Lepisosteus oculatus: one gene and its partners. The protein of the gene in region 3 interacts with the protein of the main gene of each other region in a biochemical or structural test. Links are inferred from orthologs where the notes say so. Each region holds a gene or a part of one and is shown on either strand. Other genes may lie near its edges. The genes, in order: elf3, srebf1 and med23.

What was found.
Region 1: the proteins of med23 (region 3) and elf3 form a complex in vitro, tested with the Homo sapiens proteins (4 studies listed by BioGRID, with this or other methods). The link is inferred for Lepisosteus oculatus from reciprocal best matches to the Homo sapiens genes MED23 and ELF3.
Region 2: the proteins of med23 (region 3) and srebf1 form a complex in vitro, tested with the Homo sapiens proteins (2 studies listed by BioGRID). The link is inferred for Lepisosteus oculatus from reciprocal best matches to the Homo sapiens genes MED23 and SREBF1.

The regions. Positions count from the first base shown.
Region 1 is NC_090700.1:40,360,954-40,367,930, reverse strand, and holds the start of elf3 (ETS-related transcription factor Elf-3), read right to left. Parts: upstream 3,010-6,977; 5' UTR 2,838-3,009; intron 2,578-2,837; exon of another isoform or gene 2,538-2,577; intron 1,653-2,537; 5' UTR 1,641-1,652; coding exon 1,481-1,640; intron 650-1,480; coding exon 416-649; intron 101-415; coding exon 1-100. UniProt on the Homo sapiens protein: Transcriptional activator that binds and transactivates ETS sequences containing the consensus nucleotide core sequence GGA[AT]. Acts synergistically with POU2F3 to transactivate the SPRR2A promoter and with RUNX1 to transactivate the ANGPT1 promoter.
Region 2 is NC_090714.1:17,558,206-17,566,230, forward strand, and holds the start of srebf1 (sterol regulatory element-binding protein 1), read right to left. Parts: upstream 3,044-8,025; 5' UTR 2,791-3,043; coding exon 2,685-2,790; intron 1,708-2,684; exon of another isoform or gene 1,578-1,707; coding exon of another isoform or gene 1,559-1,577; intron 60-1,558; coding exon 1-59.
Region 3 is NC_090697.1:2,620,274-2,627,264, reverse strand, and holds the start of med23 (mediator of RNA polymerase II transcription subunit 23), read right to left. Parts: upstream 3,022-6,991; 5' UTR 2,879-3,021; coding exon 2,828-2,878; intron 2,466-2,827; coding exon 2,434-2,465; intron 532-2,433; coding exon 444-531; intron 25-443; coding exon 1-24. Other genes in the region: interleukin-20 receptor subunit alpha-like, read left to right, coding at 6,354-6,399, 6,878-6,991. UniProt on the Homo sapiens protein: Required for transcriptional activation subsequent to the assembly of the pre-initiation complex. Component of the Mediator complex, a coactivator involved in the regulated transcription of nearly all RNA polymerase II-dependent genes.

The DNA of each region.
Region 1 (6,977 bases), on a different chromosome or scaffold from region 3:
ACAACAACTGTAGGCAGGAGGTTGTAGGTGTCTTCGGCAAAGATTTCCGGGAGGTCAGTGAAGAGGGTGTTCAGAATGTCATTGGTGATGTCATCAACACCTGAAACAGCAGAGAGGCAGTGGTCAGAGACGGTCCCTCTTACTACAGAGCCTCTGCTGGAGCAGGAGCACTAAATCAGACACGCTCCACTCAAGCACTTTGTGTTGCAGGTGTGTGAGGCAGGCTGTCTTGTTGAGGTGATTGTTTCAAACCCGAAAGAAAAGACGTTTTGAGTAAAATTAGTCTGTTTTTTTTATAAAAAGGGTTTATTTCCCTGGAGCCGGGCTCCCTGTGGAGAGTTGCCCAGTTTGCACTGTGCTGTTCATGTGGACTTGAAAGGTCTCTGAGCTCTCTCTGATCCCTGAGGACACTTACTGTTTTTCGCCTTCAGGTCCTGCAGGCTGTGGTACAGTCGGTCCCCCAGTGGCCCAAACATGGAAAGCATCGTGTCCCGGGACATCTGGCACAGCACGGACCCCTCCAGGGTGCAGTAGGCCATGTTCAGGGTGCTGGCGTCGAACTTGGTCTCCTCCACATGGTAGCTGATCCACTCCAGCACGTTCTGCTTGCTCCAGAACTGCGGGTCAGTGTTGTACCACTTGCAGGGGCCTGAAAACCAAGCGCAGACAGGCCTCAGACTCCCTGTCCGAGCAGGTCGTGACCAGACACCTTCCCCCGAGCTCCGCAGCGATTTAAAACACTGGAAACACGGAGTGCTGTTATTTCCTTGTGCTTTCAAACTGTCTTTAACAAAACAGCAGTACAGACTATTGCTGGACACAAACTACTTAGTAGTGAGATGCTGTGACATTGACAGAACACAAAGTAAAAAACTCATCATACATCACTGAGAGAACTATACCTTGTATGAAATTTAAAAACGAGTTAGGAAATGAACATTTCCAGAGCTCCGAAATCCATGCGTGTGGGCTTTAAATTCAGGTCAACAATTATTGGGGGGGATTAATTAATCGGGAAGATTCGTCGAGCTTATGATGGCTCTGGGCGACACTTTGAACAGGAATGCTGTGTCACCAGCCTTGTGCGCGCCATCCCTAACGGCTCTGCACTCGGCTTTCCGGGCTCGATTCCAGGTGTCTTCTCCTGCTAATAAATCCCGCCCTCGTCCCCCCGTGGAGACTCAGGCGCGTTAATAGCTGCGCTTTATGGTTTCGATGAAAGGCAATTAACTGGCACGCGCTTATCGGGAGCCATTAACCTAGTTACTCAAGCTAACAGTCGCTGTGAGCAATCACGGTGGTCACGCTACCTGCGCGCTAATCACGTCTGCAAATAATGTTTGGGGTGCTAAATGTAGTTAAGAAAACAGTGTTTTTTTTCTCTCCCGCTCTTTGATTTTATCGCCAGGCGCCACTGTGATAAGCCTGTTGTTCAGTCTCTGTTGGCGTAGCCGTGTTTGGTGTCTTCACCCTGTCTTACCCAGGAGCTCTGCGGGCAGCTGCGCGCTGGTCAGCAGCTGCAGGGAGTCCTTGCTGTCGCCGAGGGACAGGCTGCCCGCGGGCTGCCCGGGGTCCGAGATCTGATACATGGCGTGGTTGGCTTTGGTGAGGATGCTGCTGAGCTCGCAAGTCGCCGACATCAGTTCTTCCTTCTGCAGTGCAGCCAGTAAGAAAATCAGTTATTACAAGAATTCATACTTCATACAGTCACCGTCTCCACACCAAAGCATTTACAATAACCACACACTAGGCAGCTGAAGTACTGTTAATACCACTTTACAACCGCTATTAATTTATTACTCCAGATATTAAAATTCGCTATCAAATTCAGCCTCAAGTTTGTTTTTTCCTTGACGGGGCTCCTTGACAGGCTTAAAGTTTCTGCTTAAAAATACACCGATTATACATCTGTAAATCGTCTGAAAATTATGCTCGTGCCCTTTGATTAATTGTTTTTAATCAATTGATGTTGGCACTACAGAGCGGACGGAACGGGAATACGGTGAATTAATCTTTTATTTCGAGAAACGCATCCAGACACTGCAATGGGACTGAGATGTCCCGGAATCGCTGATGACACGGTGCATTTAGCAGCTAAAGGAATCGCCCAGGCAGACACTGCATCGTCTCCCATAGCTACTGACTTCGAACTTCATAAACCCGTCGCGTAATTATTTTAGATTGTTTACAAGGTTCTTTCTGGCGCAGCGACACGGACAGCGCTAATTTACATTCTCATTCTCGGAATTCACGAGGATTACATGTGTCATGTATTTCATGACTATTATCAGATCACATTTACATTTCACATGTACTGTGAGATTATTATCTGATTTTTGGGGAAAAAAAACGTTTGCAGACTACAACAATATATAACTAGTTATAAAGAGTTAATACGCGATAATTCCGCAATATGTGTCTATCCTACGTTGTAAATTTTACATAAAAGAGCTGCGATTTTTAATACCTTTGCCTGCGTAATTTTACTTACTATAATGGTGCTTTGTAGAGCTTACTCAATGTTGTTTAATTTTATAGGCAAGGCAAAACTGCTGGCTTGATTCATCTCTCCTCAAGGTAAAATCTTATTTTTTTAATATGTTATCTGGAGTAATTTACAATAAGCAGCCTGAAACTTTATTTTTGCCAGATTTCCTTTCTGAATCCAATATCCTAGCAGTTTGAATCCCTCTAGGATCACGAGAAAGCTCAGTTCTGCTTTTTGCGCAAAAGCGGACACACAGCTGCTGTACCGGAGCATGAGCTGACTCGCATTTACACACACGCACAAGCAGCAGGCATTGGCATGGCAGAGGAAAAGAAACACTTCTCCATACCTGTTGAAACAGGACCAGGCGCCGGACACTAGATCAAACAGAGGGAGGTTAAAAAGCCGTTGAAGAGCGAGAGAAATAATCCAGTACAGGTGATCCCTGTGGCGCTGTTACTCCCCAGATCGCTGCTGTGTTCACGGCCCTGAGTGCACCTGTTTCACCAATACCTGCGAGCTGCCAGCCTCGCTCGCTTTATAGCTCTTGCTGAGGGGGGTGGAGCTCCAGGTGAGCGGGGAATTCCACACCGGGCTGCTCTCCGCTGGAGAGAAGAGACATTTGCATGAAGAACAGGTGCCTGAATAGCTGTGCAGCCACACCTCCTGCACACCACAGGAAAGAAAGGGCAGGGGTAGGATTCAGGATTCAGGGTCTGATATCCCCCCCCCCCCTCCCTAGTCTGTAAAGATCTCCTCTCCCGCCAGAGACAGTGCCGAGTGCGGCCAGGGGACACGCATCTGGAAACAAAGTGGATCTGGTCCATTTCCTCTGCCAGGTTCCCACCCGGCCGCAGCAGCGCTTTGTCTTAATTATTATCCCGACAGGCCTCTCCGTGTCAAGGCCCTCTGAGCTGCCTTCACCAGTTATTTCATTTCTGAGGCAGCTGCTTTCGCTGTCCTTTCTCACCTCCGCCAGCCCGCTACCACCTCTCCTGCCTCCTGCAGTTAAACTTCACAAGATGATGTCACCCTGTCAATAGAGAATGTTGATCAAGGTCCACCGGCCTGGCTGCTGTGCTGCACTGCGCTCCAGTAAGGGGGCCGTTAAAGGACTTTGATTCAGGGTGTGAAAGATGCACAACACATTGAGCACAGGGGGGATTTGGGGCTCAGACATACTGCACTTCTACTGTAAAGCAGAAATACATTTCTTATTTGTTTGCATTTGCCTTAGAAAAGCAATAACGAGACAGAAAACTGGAAGGGATGCTCTATCATTTGAGGCGTTCCTGAGAAGCAGATTCCATCAGCTGGTTCTCTTCTTTCACAGTGCAGATTTGTGTTCGAAGTGCCACTATGAAATGCCCAGCACAGCCCCAGGACATCAGTAGAGCAGGAAGGTGGTGGACTTTGCCGACTAGCACTGAGGGAGTGTGTGTTTAATTTTAGTGCTGCCAAGGGGCTCTTTCTAACTGGTACGTAAATTCCTTATTATTTCCGGAGCGAATGTTGTTGAGGCTGAGCATATGTCAGCTGTAATAGCAGTGTCAAATATTAATTAGCCCTAGTTTCTTTTCCCCTGCAGTGATTTGGAACGCACCAGTGTCTTCCAGTTTGATTCCCAACACAGAGTCTGCTGAGATCTTGTAAATGTTTATTCTAGTCTAATATGATACAAACACGGGAACGATCTGCGATACACAGTGAATCACAGCCACAACAAACACCAAGCTTGGCCAGGCTTGAGAAACAAGAACACCACGAGAACCAGTCAGCACAACCTACTGGGGCACGTTTCCTTCGGGGCTTGGTTCTGAAGAATACACATCAGCCAGTCATATTTAAAAGGTATTTCTGAGTTCGCTGTCAGGGAATGGTAAAAATTTCCTTTGGCCGATGGGGCGAAGGCACAGAATCCTGAGGTGCAGTAAAAGTTGGGACACAACCGGCTAGTCTAGTCAGTACAGCGCAGTAACCAGAGAAACTCCAGGGGTTTTGTAAGCAGATTCCTAGTCAATGCATCTGATGTTTAACCAGCATTCAACCCTGAAGACCCCCTGGGAACAAGAGGGTCCATTGTGTGCATTGCGGGGGCAGCAGACAAAAAGACAAGTTTTTCCAGTTTCCGCAACACTGACTCAATGAGCCTGAACAATAAACAAGCAGCACTGGCTACAAACAAGCAGAGCTGGCTGCTCCGGCAGGCTACAGTACTCACCTTGCACTGCGTCTCCCCTGTCCCGACATGAGGAGACTGCAGGAGCGCGCTGATCTGGGCAGTGCAGGTCCTAGGAGGGACATGGGGGCTTGTGTGTGTATGTGTGGGACCAAACGTCTCATCGTCACATTTTCACTTTTTTACAATTGTTTACAAATGAGTAATGTATTTGTGCTTTAAAGGTGAAGTTTGTTTTAGACCAGAATTATCATCAGTGTTGTTGAAGCCTGCTTTTTGCGAGCATTCACGATTAATCAAACAGCCAGCCACACAAGATAAAGAATGAATTTGTCTGATTCATGTATCCAGATTGCCTTACATTTAAACAGCTGGGGATTTCGCTGGAGCCGCCCGCCTGTGTCAGTGACCTCACTCAAGGTGCAGAGGCAAGGTCCCACCTGGGGGTTGAAACCCATGGCCCTGCAGTTGGAAAACGCAGACCCCTGACCCTCCTCCATGCTTCAGCCTAAATATGGGCCCAATAGAGTAGTCACCTGTCTTGGGCTTTTCACCCCAAATCACAATCTCCCTGACATCACCAGTTAGTCCGACATCTGCCAGCGATGAAACCAGCCCCTCAGGAAGACTGTCCATGAGAGGAGCGAGTGCAGAGCTCCTCTGATACTCACGCACACACTCAGTCTCCAGCACAGCGCCGCTGCGCCACATCGGACATGACCACGGCAGCACTGTCCAACAGCCTGTTTTACAAAAATATAGGCTGTTTGTGTAAGACGTTTGGTAGCCAGTACCGAGGGTTAGGGTTAAGCCTTGGCTTCAATTCCTGGGGTGCTCTCTGTGTGGAGTTTCTATGTTCTCCCTGTGTTTATGTTGTTTTTTTTACCCTGTGTTCACTTGGGTTTCCTCTGTGTGCTCTAGTTTCCTCCCACAGTCCAAAGACATGCTGGTACGTTATTTAGTTTCTATTTAGTTTTGGCCCCGCTGTGAGTGTGAGCACGTGCGTGTTTGTGTCTGTCTGCCCTTTGATGGACTGGCGTCCCGTCCAGTCCTTCGGTTTCCCCAGAACCCTGAAAGAGATGAAGAGGTTGGAAAATAGAGGGATGGAGGAAAGTGAGTCTTCCATTCCAAATCCTCCTTGGCTTTCAAAACGCGGAGGTATGGGTATTGGACCTCAGGGAAGGATTGGTAAGGTGCAGAGTGAGCTCATGGTAACACAGTGACATCGCTAGCCAGCCTGTCAGCCATTACAGCGATAACAAACAATACGTTTTGTGTAGGAAACAATGAAAACTGCAATTAAAAACCCATGCATTAAAATAATTATTAAACCTGAAGGAAATGTATAACAAAGCAAGAAATGAATACAATTATGATATGATCATATTAAATATCATATCATTTTAAAACATTAAGCTTTGGTGAGTGACATAGCTGTCTCACAATGTGGTCACTTAAATTTAGAAAGATTCCAAATAAGGCACAGTCTAGATGGCATTATAGCTCAGGTTTCAGCTATAATTAAGGAACAATATAACTTGCCCGATTGCATTGTAGAGATAATCCTGTCTTTGTGACGTAAATTCTTAGAAAGTTTGCTTAAGACTTACAATAAACAGCACTTAGATTTTCTCATAAGACAAGAATGAGGTAACAGGTGTGTCGTGATCTTTGACCGGATTTGTGCTGCTATCTGGTGTTTGTAAGCAGTCCTGCAGCCATACTGAGGCGATGCATTGAGTTTGCACTTGAGCTAGCCCGGGGTAAATGAGCGGGTGTCTCGTTCTTCCATCTCTGCAGGCTGCACCCCAGGCTGCAGGGTTCAAGAGAAATGTCCTTGAGTAGTCCAGAATGGGTTTTGCAGACTGGTGCTCTTTGGTCTGTGTTCTGTGGAAGTTTGACATATTACAGCGAGCAGTTTGGTCTGTTTTCTGAGTGTGTATAAGTCTGTGTGTGGGGCCACAATGTGAGAATGTGCCCCGCGTGAAGACAGCAACTGCAGACAAACAGATAACATGTAAATGCCCTTTTTATAATACAAACAGCCTCTGCTTTTAAACATTGAAAGTGTCAGAAATAGTTTCAGTGCCGGGAGCTGAGGTCAGTTCCAGGCTGAAAGGCAGTGTTTTGTCTGTAGCGCCTTCTTCAGGTGTGAGAGAGACAGCATGTACAAGGCATGAGGGAGCAGGGGAAGATGGACTTCCCTTCCTCACCCCTCATCACGCCCTGACAGTGGTGGATGGACTTTTCTGAGCAAACAGGCTCTTGCTGGGAATCTGGTTGGGCTGCAGCCCGTTTCTTTGGTTATGT
Region 2 (8,025 bases), on a different chromosome or scaffold from region 3:
GGGATGGTCGAACAGGCCGGGGAACTCCATGTCCTGGCTGTTGATGAGCTGCAGCATGTCTGCAAAGAGAGAGGTCAGAGGTCAGAGGTCAGATGTCAGCGGTCAGCGGTCAGCGTCACCGGCTCGGGGGGCGAGACAGACAGAGCAGGAGCAAACTGATCGATCAGAACGCGAAACATTGGCAGACCCTCGGACCCCCTGCCTCCAGACAAGCTCCTCTCAACTCCACATCAGAGGAACAATTTCATACTGTGGAATTTTTTTTTTTTAATCTTGCTCTCCAATCTGAAGATGGCTATTTTAATGGCACTGGAACCTTTTGACTGTGCACCCTGGGTGTCTTTACAACACCACTAACAAGCTACAGGGGTGATAACAGAGCTCGTTAAGGCAGAGCCCTGCGGCCAGTCTGGTCACCGTGATGAACGCGATGGCGCCACTTTCACAGGGCAACTGCGCGAATGACTAATCTGATTAGCTGCGAGTTTAGTCTGAACGGTTAACGGGTGGTGCACCACCAGCCCGGACAGCAGGGGCCCAGTGCCGCTCTGCAGACAGGAGTCTCTCTCGGCTCCTCCGCACCTCCGGCGCCGGCCTGGTCCCACCCAGGTCTGCCCCAACACTGGCAAGATCAGCTTCACTTCACTGACTGCCTGAGCAGGTGATTCGCTCAGGTATTTCAACATCCTCTGCATCAAACATCACAGAGCACTCTGCTTATTGGATCGATGGCTCTCCTAGTGTCGCTGACCTTTAGGACACAGGTGATTTAGGGCAACTGCTAGAGCCCAGGATCAGGGCAGGACCCCTGCCTGAGCTAATTCAAGTACCGAACACGTTCAGCAAGAACAGCAGCTCTTATTTACAAACATAGAATGGCTTCAGGCAGCATTCAGCTCCAAAGAGTACCCGAACAGTGTTCTAGCATGAGCAGGAACAGCAGACAGCCAGTGAGCTCACGACAGAAACCTCCTGCACACAGCAGCCCAGAGACTTCGGCTTCATGTGCCGCAGGTCATCAGGAACCGGGAGGCTGCCACTTGTCACTTCAGCAAATACCGCCTGAAAGGAACGGGTAAAGGTTTATTCCGCACTGAAAGGAAAAGAGACACAACGTTTGGCTGTGGAGCCACACGCCTGACGAAACGTTGTGTTTCTGCTCTGTCCTCTCAGCCTGGAATAAACCCTTACCTGTTCCTTTGCAGCCTGCGCATGCTGGCACAGCTCCCTGCTGGAGCTACACTCTGAAAGGCCCAGCACACCTCTTATCAGGTCATACCTGACCCTGCAGCTGGAAAACCACGAAACGGATCACAACAGCTACGGAGTCTCGTGTACGACTGGGTTCACTGCAGTTTCCAAGCTCAGCAAAAGTGCTGGTGCTGTCCAGGACACAGCACCGTCTTTCAGCCAGTATTGTAGGTGTGAAGGAAAGATGACATACGTCTGTCCACACAGAGGCTTCCCAAGAACAAGCTAATTCCAGCAAGAGACCGCGAGATGCAGCACACAGGTGCGCTGGAAACAGACAGAGAGCCACAGGAACATTAACATTTACCTTCTAAAGTGCAGTCCATACTGCCAGCCAGTGTGAAAGCTGTCTGCTCAGCTGCGAAATCACAAACTCCTCAAGAGCTGCGCGCATCCCCGTGTCCAGAGGGAGCTGAACGTCCTCCCCGCACGGGCCGGGCCGTCAAGCCCACAGAGGAGCACAGCTCCCGTCGGACACGCCTCCCTCACGCCCGCGGGGGGCCGGGCGGTGCGAGCCGTGTTTTGGTATGAGGTGATCGCTCGCAGCCAATGGGACGCGGGCTGGGCGCCTGGCTATGCGGGCCTGCCCCCGGGACACGGCGAGAGAGCCAGCGTGTCTGAGCCCACGGTGTCCCGGGCTGCAGGGTGAACGACCGGGGTTACTATCGGGCAGCGTGTGCGTCTGCTCAGGCGGCGGGGTTACTCGCGGTCATGCACACCCCCCGACAGAAACACGGCGACGAAGCAGCTTCTCCCACGCAGGTCGCGTCACCAGGGGGAGAATAAGAACAATCGCCCTGTAACGCGACAGCGGGACCGAGAAGGAATCGTTTAAGAAAGGCGGTCTCCTGAACACCGCGGGAGCGTGCCCCGGGCCGTGTTCAGCGGACAGGGTCCCCCCTGCAGGCTCGATGACCGGCCCCTGCAGGAAGCCCCCCCCGGGAGACCGCGGCTTTGTAATGAAAGCGGTGCAAATCGTTCAGTGTCTCCCCCGGCCCTGGGTGAGAGAAACACGCGGGTGAACTCCGGGCGGGGGAATGCACGAGAGTAACCCCCGCGTGACGCCACGCGCAGCAGCCAGGGGGGGGCGGGGCGCTCGAGAGCAGAGAGCAGCCCTGCTCCGGACGCTTTGGGGGGCTGGACCCCCGCACTGAGATACCCCAATAACCCGCCTCCCTGCGCCCGGCACCCCGCGGGCCCTGAGCTCGTCTGTCCGAAAGCGCCCCACGGCCCGAGGCAGAGGGGGGTCTCTGGGCTGCTGTGCGCGCAGGGGGACATGTCGCTGCGGACCCCACTGCCAGCCAGACTGACCACAGCTGCGCCGACAGGACAGGCGCGGTGCCCGAGCAGCAGTCCCGGCACTGACAGTCGTGCGAGGCTGCAGCCGGGGTCCGGCTCGGGTCCGGCTCGGGTCCGCACGCCTGCGGGCTTACCGTCGATGTCGCTGAGCAGCGCGGTGTCGATCTCACTGGGCTCATGAAGAGACAGGCTGGGGTCCAGGTGGTCCAGCGACGGGTCGTCAAAGGGCAGGCCGCTCATTTTCGGTTGTTTCTTTTTAACAAGTGTATTCGCAGTTATCCCGAGTTATCACGTGGAAGTTTCCATTAAAATACAACATAAAAAATAAACACAGAAAAGTCCCGTCTGGAGGGGGGGGGGGAGCCCCCCAGAGACGGCAGTAAAGAGTGAAATCAAACTTTGTGACTGATGCGTCTGTCTACTCGCTGCTCTCCTGCTCCTCCATGCTGAGCGCTCACGGTAAACTTGTCCAAACACTGAGCGGAGCGACACCCTAGCCTGCTGGCTGGGAAGCCCCAGACGCACCGCCCCGCAGCTCCGTGACGACCGCGGACTGACGGCGCTCCCGGCCAATCAGCGGCAGAACAGCGGCCATGTGCGGTCTGGCCAGGAGAGGGGGGTGTGTTTCTCACCTGCCCCCCCGAAAAACAGCTGTATCTCTTCTCACCGGTCCAGCCTCATGCATAATAACTGGGAATATTTCTTTACAGATCTGGTACCTCATTTTATTCTGCTTTCTGCCTTTTCATAGTTTTTCTGCTTCTACAGACACCCTCTGACCTCTCTCACTCGCAGCTGCCCGGCCCTTCCCCTGGGAGTGCAGTGTGATGGCTGGGCTCTCCTCTCCCGCTCGCCCGGGACCCTGAGGCTCAGGGGGTGGGTCATTGATGACTGTGGTGAGCTCAGGGCAGGAGCGGCCTGAGAGACCTGTTGCAGGAACAGAGTGGGAGTCACTGAGCAGGGTCTGTGTGCTGGATCACACTGCAGTGCCTGAGGGGGTTTAGTCAGGGTTTAGTGAGTCTCCTGCATCAGCAGCTCAGTTTGGTGACTGTGTGATAACCAGCTCTGCCCCAGGGCCCAACAGCAGTGCGGCTCTATTCTTGAGCTCGGCACCAGGCTGCCATGTGGGATAGGGTCTCTGCCTTGTATGGAAGAAGTGGGTTTTTAATCTGGCACGCCTTGTGGCAAAAGCTATTCTTAATCAGCAATAAAACTAATGTAATTACAGATATTATTATATATTGTTTAAGCCTTTTATCAAACCCCTGCTATGTTTGTGTACCTTTAAAATGTACTACAAAAAAAAATATCTGTTCGCTCACAATCAGTGATAAAAGTCTTCATTTGCTCGGGTCAGGCAGTCGCAGGGCAGCACGGTCCCAGAGTGTACTAAGAACTATGGACTCAACTTCCACGTGGACAGGTGATATTCATGCTAACCGAAGCCGCATCCTGAACAGGCCATGAGCACACAGCCAGCGAGCGGAGCAGCTTCCCAGAGACACAAGCGGCGGCTGCCGCACAGGCGAGCCCCTGTGGGCGTGTCCCCGCCAGCCAATGGGGAGCGGCCGCAGGCGGGACTGCGCGCAGTCAAGTTTGTTGGAGTCGCAGAGGCGGCCCCGCCTGTAGAACCAGCGGCCCCGACCAATGAAAAGCGGCGCACAGTGTGGGGTGATCTGACGTCACAGCTGTGGCTCTGCGATTACATCACGTAATCCTTGCTGGACGGGCGCAGCTCGTTTTCCAGTTTTTCCGGGGGGTAACTTTTAGCACAGGAGGTTTAACACCCGCTAGGAAAGGACTCCCCAGAACAGATCGATTGCAAAAAAAAAATATTTGCTGTTTGTCTTAGTGAGTATGGAGACTTTTACTTTCAATACAAGGAGGGCAGCTCTAAATAAGTTTTAAAGTGTTTGTTAGAGGAAACTCATGCAAACACGGGGAGAACATGCAGACTCCACACAGACAGCACCTTGGGTCTGGAATTGAACGCGGGGGCCCAGAGCTGTGGGGCAGCGATGCTGACCACCCTTTCGAAATGTCCTCCTCTTCCTAACGGAGCAAAGCTTTATTAACTGGTGTTGACCAAGTTCATCAGAGGAGGAACAGCAATGGAATTCGCTTTACAGGGATCACACTGACGTTTTTATTTGGGTTGAGATGTAAGTTTTTTTCAGAGGGACATTTGGCAATTCTGCAAGGGTTAAGTGGCTCATTTTCCAAAGATTCATTAAAACTAAGTTTTAAAAGGACGTAAAAAAAGATCTTCCTTCACCCAAGTTAGCATACAAGGGTTAAAGCTTCCTACCTAAGCAGCTATGCAATAGTCAGGCAATATTAAGGCCAGGATCAGTTTGCATTTTTAGTTTCTAAGTTTTTCAGTAATCCTTCTGTTCTTTATTCCTAATAAATATTTAAGCTATTTCAACACAAATTAAAGCTGAAAGATTTTGCTGTGGTTGTTCAAGTACTAATTCTACTGTACAATATAATGTCAGTTGTGATGTTTTACATAAAAGTTTACATTTAACATTTAATTGGCACTATTTTATGGGTTCACAGTTATTTTAAGGTTTCAGATTCCTAGAATTGTGATAGGAAATGTGTTCTTCAGGTTATGCAGTAATTGGAACACCAGCCTACACTTACACAGGTACAGTATTTCCAAGCAAGAACAACAGAGACCGGAATGTACAGATCACACTGGTAGTGTTTTATTGGAGTTTAACACATGCAAGAGTTCGTACAGCACAGCGCGAAACTTCGGTAACAGCAGCAGTAAGGACAGGCCATTACACACACATGACAAGACTGTTCTCTCTGGGTCCCTGCTGCCCTAAGGGTAAGCTCAGGTGCAGAACTCAGGAAGCAGGCAGAACAGCTTCCAGAATGCACCTGACACCTTCAGGTGAGTCAAGACCTTCATCCAGCCACTTTCACTTCCAAGATTCTACCCCCTGACGTCAGGCACAGAACTGTTTTCAGTTACACAGAACATCATTAGGTGCATTAAACAAAATCAGCACAATGTGTTAACTTCCGTGTCAAAAGACATACTGTATTTGCGAAGATGTGTATCAATTTCTCAAAACGTACGTAACTCCCAGGAATCTTGTGCTGTTTCTCTTTTTAACACCACTGGTTAACTCTGCAACACAAACATTTACCAGCAAATGATGAATTCTGTTAAAAAACTGATAGACAAAAATACGCCCAGAGATGTCAGATATTACATTTTAAGGAGAACCAAAGTGATTTGAAGTTTCTCAGAACATCAGCGCACTCTCCAGGCTCAAACTGCGTAGCACAGACCACTAGGCTCAAATAAAAGGAAATAAGCAGTTACACTTCTATATGTCAGTTTAGTCTTGTAGATATCACAGCTCCTCAACTCTGTTGCAAGGTTAAAAGCTAAGGTACATTACTTTTTTCAAATAAAAAAAAAAACAAAACAAAATTAGATCCAATAAACTTTGTGGAAGAGTGCGACCCAGCTAGTGCACACAAACATGAAGAGTTATACACATTTAACACAAATACAAGAACCTTTCATTTCTTTCTTTTTAATCTTGTAAAACATTTTCCCTAATGCTGATACTTGCAAAGAATATTAAAAACAATAAATTAATCTTATTAAAAGATTTTCTAATGTTCTAAGTGATTACAGATATAAAGATAAATGTCTCAGCTGCAAGCAACCAGAATGATTTTTATAGAGCTCTCTATAATAAAAGTTAAAATTAGGAACTTTTCTGATAGTGTTATATCTTTTATCTCAGCAAAAATGGATTTACAATACACTGTACAAGAAATTCATGTCTGCAAAGTTAAGAAGCATGTTGGAAAAGAATGAACAGCCCAGGAACTAATTTCTTTCCTGCTTCTGATTTTCATTTATTACAAATGCTACAAGCCTACATGCTACATGTGGCACTACTGCTGCATCTCCACAGTAGCCACAGTCACTATGGCAAAACGCCTGTTCTTCAATACCATGACTGAAGAGTTATGGCCCAAAAAGCTGTGAAAAAGACAGACTGTTCGCTATGTTTAGCACAGCTGTAATGATTATCTACACTAAACCCACAGCCCACCTCAAATCATCGCTTAATGACATTTTCATCTCATTGCTTTTTTACCACCTGATCCGCATTTTGAGTTCTAAGGCTTTTAGCTTGATGTACAATTTCTCTATTTAAGCATTCTTCTCTTAGAACCACAAAACTCAGATACCTCTCCTAAAATACATATTTTACTTTTCATACACTGATAGACCCATGTGTTACTGTGTAAGGGACTACATCTGAGGACGTTTTGATATTGGACACACAGGGCATTTTGTTCAGTACTTTTAATTGTTTTCCCTCAAAGACGTCATTTATGACACAGTTCAAGAAACACTGGTGACACCACCAACTAAGACAGCTTTGCGGTGTTCTCTTATATTAAAATGTATACAGTACATCAATAGCTTATCTTCCACTATCCAATTTAATAGTTCTGTTACAATTAACACACGTTAATAAATAGCTGAAATGCACATCTATTTTAGCATCGTCTCTTATTTCATGCTCAAATAGATCTAACTCTGTGGATAAACATCTACAGTAGAGCACACTGCTTTAATGCTATTTCTTAAGGTTTCCAAGTACATCGGCACAATATCAGTCTGTTATCTAATCAGTATTTCCCAGCTCTGGTATATCCATACTTTGTAAATCCACATATTCCATACGGACTGAGTCTAGGTGAAAGGTCAGAATGCACTCTGACTCAGTGAAGACAGTACAGTAGGGATGGTCGACACAGCAGTGATGCAAGTGTGCTTTCAGGCAGTGAAGGGTAAAGCTCATCATTATCACTTATTGCCCATTTCCTAGGTTTCACAGTCCTGCACAGAAAGATACTCTCCTTTGAAACTTTTTGTTAAATCTTCTGCAGAATGGTTAATCTGTCATTTCTCTGCTTCACCCTGGTGTAGAAACCACGCCCCAAGCCTCTGCTTACATCTCCCTGGCTTTCCCATCTAAAAGCATCTCAGGCTGGTTTGTCCTTTCCACTGACATGAATCCACTTTGCACAAAACCTTTAAAAATAGCAGGTCAAGAGTCCAGAAAGAATTACAGATGGTAGTTGTGTAATCTCATCTACGTCTACTGAAACACTGCCAACTGACAGGCTTCAAAACAGGGAAAATATTTTTCTTTTAAAAATAATTAATCACATTTATACAAATGTCCCCTTTAAAATTCACACCGAGAAATCCCACAAGACTATTTAATGGGAATAGGCTAGACCCTAATATATAACAAAACCCCTTTCAAACTCAATTAGATAAAATATCTGATGCTTTGACACAACTGTTGTCAAACAAAGGAAACTGCCCTGGCTCCTCTTCAGAATTATTTTTCTCTGTGAAAACAAATCTTGTGCTAAATATTTAAGAGTGCATTTAAAACACTGAGGCTGGAGATG
Region 3 (6,991 bases):
CTGTACACACTGGTCGTGGGAATCCTGTAAGAAGAATGTTAGCACATCCAAGGTTCAGAAAAATAACTGTACTTTCCAAAACCTAACTGGGATCCATGCGCAATCCCAGTGTTCCACAGAGAACCAATAATGAGCGATTTAGGAAGAAGTACTGATCAGACTGGGGACTGACTGTGCGATTCTTCATCCAACACAAATCTTCTTTGTTCTAGACACGCTGTTACAGCAGAGATATTTCACAGTCCTGATACACTAGCTCATTTAAAATTGTGGCCATTATATAACACTGCTTATTTCCTCTGGTGGTAAAACTACATGTCCCCACTTTAAAAATGAAATTGTACGCAAAGATAAACCATTTTATATATAATAGTGTTCAGCAAATAATCAGAGATACTGTATGAGAAAGACAGGCAGCCATTCAGCTCCAGGTTATGTCTCACCTGGGGAAGAGTGCTCCAGTACTGCCGAAAGGCACCAAGACAGCTGACCAGCTTTGTTTGCTCATCTTCTGGATTGTCCATAAACATACTGTAAGAAATTGAAGCTGCAATGTTTCACTGTGGAAGAGTCACTTTGCATTGCAAATTGCAAAAAAAAGGACTGGGAACAATGACAACCTGTAACAAAACATTTGGCTTACATTTTGAGCTCACAGACTAAAAATGTTTACACCCGAAGAAGGTTCCACAGCCGAAACACTGTGCTTTCTTCTCTTTTCTGCATGGAATAAACCTTTACTTGTTCCTTTGCAGCCTACGCATGTTGACACAGATACTGTACCCATCTGAACTAAAAATGAACTAAAAATAGTTTTAATATGAAAAGTACAATATTTAAACGCATTCTTTAAGGAATACAATTTTACAGTGCCTAATATCAACAGAAGCCAAAATGCTCGAAGCTTGTTGTACAACAGGTTTTTTTCTGTTGCAGTGATTTGGAATGCTCCCTTTCTGGAGTCATATTTATGAGGGGTCTATCCCCTTGATTATTTATACAATAAAAAAAGGTGCTGAACTACAAGCTTATGGCTTCAAAACACATCAGCCATTTCCATTTGAATTCCCCCACAATGAAAGAGGGAGATCCTCCTGAGATATGAAGGTAGAAATACTCTATCATGCTTTCATATGAGAAGCCTTATTTTTTTACTGTTCTTCCTGTTATTGAACTAATCTTTGTATCATTGCAATGCTAGAATTGCTTTTAATTAAGATTTCCGTTTTTATTTTATACATGATCACAGAGCTATAATTAGCTAACAACTTTGAATTCATAGGAAAATGAATGCAGCAGAAACTATCTTCAAATATAGATAAAACTCACAAAACCAATGCATGCTTATCTGGTTTTGTGTATATTTACACTCATAACACGTCTTTTAATACAACTACATGAGGTTCTAATTCATTCATGTTCCCATAAAAATCTATTAACCAAGGTACACAGTTCCAGAAAATAATAATAATAAACTTTATTTCATAGTTCAGGTGGGTAGCTGCGTCAGCATGCGTAGGCTGCAAAGGAACAAGTAATAGGTTTATTCCATGCTGAAAAAAAGAAGAGAGAAAACACAACATTTCGGCCGTGGAGCCTTCTTCAGGTGTGAAGGAGCCTTCTTCTTCACACACCTGAAGAAGGCTCCACGGCCGAAATGTTGTATTTTCTCTCTTCTTTATTTCAGCATGGAATAAACCTATTACTTGTAACTTTATTTTATATAGCGCCTTTAAAGGTGGCTTCTCAAAGAACTTTACAGAATGACAACAACAATAAATAAAAAGAATACACAAGACAAAGCACAATTACAACACACAGAAGAGACCATGAATGGTGGTACTAAGAAAAGCAAAGGGGTGAAGAATGGAACCAGTTAAGTAAAGCTCTTCTAAAGAAAAAGGTTTTGAGTCTGGATTTGAGGGAGTTTAGAGAAGTTGACTCTGATATCCTTTGGGAGAGAGTTCCAGAGCTTGGGGGCATAACAAGAGAAGGCCCTGTCACCCATAGAGTGTAGATGGACTTGGGAGACAGTAAGGAGAGCAGAATTAGAAGAGCGAAGGTTGCAAGGTGGGGGGTAGGGCGATAATACTTCAGACAGGTACTGAGGTGCCAAGCCATGCAGAGCCTTGTAGCTGAGCATGAGGATTTTAAAGTCCACATGGAATTTGACAGGAAGCCAGTGCAAGGACTCCAGGATAGGAGTAATTTGAACACTTTCACTAGACCTGTTCAGGATTCTGGCTGCCGAATTTTGGACATACCGCAGTTTGTTCAATGTAGATTTAGATACCCCAGCGAGTAATCAATTTGGGAGAAGACAAATGTATTGATCACCTTTTCAGCCACAGATAGTGATAACATAGTACAAAAGTATAAATTATTGCAAATACAAGCGCTAGATTTATAAAAGTAGCTGTATAAAGTGCTTACCCAGCAAATGCTTCTTCTATGAACTCCGTTTTCTAAAAAGAAAAAGTCATAAAGTGAGAAGTTTAAATGTAGAATTGTACGACAAAATAACTTTGAGTTGCATTTAAGTTTAGGTTTAAATATTAATTTTAATGTCAAATACGAAACAATCGCCTTTCATTTCTCTGCAGGATCTGCATCAATTCTGTTATGAAAGTATCGAGCTCATGAATTACCACTCAGGAAAGATACAACCACAATGCTACCGGAAACAAATTTTAAGAAAATAATATTAAAAGATGTTATAAGGAAAAATCAAAGTAAAACAGAAATTAAAAGCACTTTAAGAAAGCAAATAAAGACAATTAAAAATCTTCGATTTGGTGAACGTGAAATTTAACAAAGGAAATCGTACCACAACGTCTTCAAAAATGCTTTGGAGCTGGGTTTCCATTGGTATGGCCATTTCTCTAAAATATTCGTCCTACGAATCTGAAAATATAAAAGTTTCCCTGTCATGCAAATACATCACGATGTTTTTTTCCTGCTTAACAAAATTACAGATCCAATATTCAACAATGCATATCTACACAGGAAGTGGTGCTTCCTTCAAAATAGTCCGAACAAACACATCGAGGCTTTACTATTAGTTCCTAGAATAGAATACCGATGTACCACACAGCGAATGATTGTATTGTCTTATCCTGATGTTTCTTGAAGGAAGCCAGGTTATTTGCTTCAACAGCATAGCTGGCTTGTTCCACACTCCTGTACCCCGCAGTGTACAGACCTCCTGTTCTCCGTTTTAAATGCACTTTCCAGTGATTGTTGTATTTCTTTTCCATAATTGTGTGTAAGAGGGATGTCTTAAAAAGAGGACCTCTAGCCACACAAGTTTAAAAAGTCTCTGCCTATGTCCAGCATACAAACTCCAGAAATTAATCATCTCAAAATTAGACAGCGGGGCTTCTACATTGCTGCCACCCAGATACAAAAAACAATAACTTAACTGTTGGATAAAACATTGTTGACTGGCATTTCAGGCCATAACATGATCATATTAACTACAGATGGTTGAAATAATAGTAGATTAAACAATTGGTACAGTTCAAGAATTACATTTATTATTGTGATAATAATCAACTTTCTTTTATATAATATTATCTTAAAGTAATACATTATCTTAAAGTTAGTTTGTCTTTCCATTTCATCATTTATTTATTTTTAATAAAGACAATACCAATAAGCCAGCAGCTATTAGCCCCCTTCAGCTCTCAACTGGCAGTCCACTGGCGTCCTGCCCAGGGTGTACCCTGCCTTGCGCTCATTGCCTGCCCGGTAGGCTCCAGCTTCCTGCGACACAGTATGGTATAAAGCGGTTTGGCAAATGAAATCATAATATCTATTCTACGGGTGAAAATCCGTAAGGCTGCAGGGCCTGATGGGATACCACCTCGCGTCCTGAGGACATGTGCAGCCCAGCTGACCACAGTGTTTACAGACATCTTTAACTCCTCCCTGTCACAGTCCATGGTCCCCACCTGCTTTAAAAAAAACACTATTGTTCCAACCCCCAAAAAGACAAAAGTGACATGCCTGAATGATTACCGCCCAGTAGCATTAACATCTGTGGTGATGAAATGCCTGGAGAAGCTGGTGTTGTCACACATCAACTCCTCCATCACAGAGTCCCTGGACCCCCTGCAGTTCGCCTACCAGAACAACAGATCAGTGGATGATGCTGTCTCCCTGGCTCTGCATACAGCCTTGGAACACCTGGACACTAAGAACTCGTATGTGAGAATGCTGTTTGTGGACTACAGTTCAGCATTTAATTCCATCATACCCTGTCAACTGGTGACAAAGCTCAGGGGATTAGGTCTGTGCAACTCTGTCTGCAACTGGCTGCTGGACTTTCTTATCGAGAGACCACAGGTGGTGCGGATAGGCAATAAAACATCAACACCACTCACCCTGAGCACTGGAACCCCACAAGGCTGCTGTCTGAGTCCAAGGTTGTACTCCCTATTTACTCACGACTGCACAGCAAGACACAGCAATAACCGCATCATCAAGTTTGCCGATGACACCACTATAATAGGACTGATCAGTGATGATGACGAGTCCACTTACAGGGATGAAGTTGTACAGCTGCTTAGGTGGTGTCATAGCAATAACCTGGACTTGAACATAAAGAAAACGAAAGAGCTAATAGTGGACTTTCAGAGACACAGGCCACACACTCACAGCCCACTAAGTATTGATGGAACGGAAGTGGAAACAGTCACCAGCTTTAGGTTTTTGGGAATTCACATCTCTAAAGATCTAACCTGGACTGTGAACACTGACTCTATCATGAAGAAGGCTCAGCAGCGCCTTTATTTCTTGAGGTGCCTCAAGCGATGGGGGATGCCAATACATGTGTTGGTGAACTTCTATCGCTGCACTATCGAGAGCGTCCTCACCAACGGGATCACCGTGTGGTATGGCAACACCTCTTCGCGAGAAAGAAAGGCACTGCAGAGAATGGTCAATATGGCCCAGAAGATCATCGGCTGCGGTCTCACCGAGATTAAACAGCTCTATGAGGACCCCTGCCGTGGTAGAATTCTGGCCATCACAGAGGACAGTCACCACCCAGGGCATGAGCTCTTCACCCCACTGCCCTCAGGCAAGAGATATAAGAGCATACGGACACTTACCACTAGATTCTTCAATAGCTTCTATCCACAAGCAGTGAGACTGGCGAACACATTTAGCCATCCCCCTCGGACCACACCTACACCATCACCATCTACCTCGTTGTAATTTATTAATTGTACGTCTCCAGTCATTGTTTACACGTCTGTATTGTTTACATTCAAACTGTCTGCATGTTTACTTGCACATTGTCTATTGTTTGTTTGTACATTGTCTTGATGCACTGTTTGCACTTTGTTTTGTTTTTTACACTTGTTTTATAATCGAGAGACTTTCTGTAAGTAAGAATTCCATTGTACCAGTACCGGTTACATATTGCAATAAAGTTCAAGTTCAAGTTCAAGTTCTATTTATGACCAATTTTTAAGAAATTCAAAACAATGGAGAGAATAATTGAATTTGTGGCTAGGGGACTTTTATTGATATATGATCCCGTGAATCTTCCCTTTTTCTGTCACCTGCATCCATACAGAGGAAGCTCTGTTCTTCTGGTACTTCTACATTCTTCTCTGTAAAGAGGAAGATAACTGTTTTTGTAATGAGAAGTGTTTAACATGAAAGCCACAGCATCATGACACACAAAACAGCTGAAAGTTATTACTTCAGCTCAACAAAGTACTTAATTTTGGTCATATAAGAAACATTTTTTCTCTAGCTTAGGACAAAATAGGACAAGATTTCCATCATCATCAGCAGCAGTAGCAGCAGCTGCAGCAGCAGCATCATCATCATTGCTTCTCTTTTACTGTAGAAGTTTGCCCAGATGTATTTTGACTTTTGTGTAATGTATTTTAAATATGAACATCTTATCTTTCCTGAAGGATTACTGCAGATTGCAACAAAATCTCCCTCCATTTTTACTAACAAAACAAATTTGTTCAAACAACTGTAGAAATAAACTGAAATGACTTTCAAATATTAAGAAGCATATATTTTAATTTAATTGATTCATGCTACAAAATGTTCAAAGCAAAGAGTGAGATGACAGGAATATAGATTTCTTTTCTTTTACTAGGGAAGCATATCAACAGAAAGAATCAGAAAGCAGAAATGTTCACTTGTTTATTAGGTTTATTATGCAAATCATTTTGGCACAGAGAGGAGGAGGATGAGGGAATTCGATTGGTCGAATAAAAGAATTGAGGAACTTCTAGACAGTACGAAAATACTACATATATACAGTACCACCAAAATGCGGCATTTAGAGATTCTGTAAATCAAGGCATAGTGTGAAGACAAATATGTTTCTGCATTGTCTAACACTGATTGTTATTCTCAGAGAACTTGGTGAGTAGCCATTATCCTTAAATCAAAATTAAGTAAAGTAAATATTTACTGTATGTATCTCATATCTGTTGTTTTCACTGAACTATTAACAATGGTGAAAACTATTATTTGAACAGAAAAATATTTTGTTATGCTTATACTGAACATTAAAAACATTTTATATAATATATTTATAAGATTTTAAGTATATTATTTTCTGTTGTTTGGATCAGGTTAAATGTTTAATTCAGATACTTAAAGACCAATTTCTTGACTAGGTTTTATTTATCTGCGAGAACCGGAAATCCTATACAGAGTTAAATCTGTAAATCCATCCTTGCATCCCATAGTTTCAGGACTCCAGACTGCCGCACTAGGAACAGTATTGGATTACTTTTAAACATTGTTATCATAAGTATATGCTATCCTATATACATATGTTTTACCATATACAGTTAATGAGTTTTTTACTTGTTAAAATGTATTGTGTTCCCTCTAGGTGCTTCACCAACTGAAGACTCTTTAAAGCCTGATCATGTTACATTTTCAAATAGAAACCTGAAAAGCATTTTACAATGGCAACCAGCATCTGAAAGTAATTACACTGTTCTGT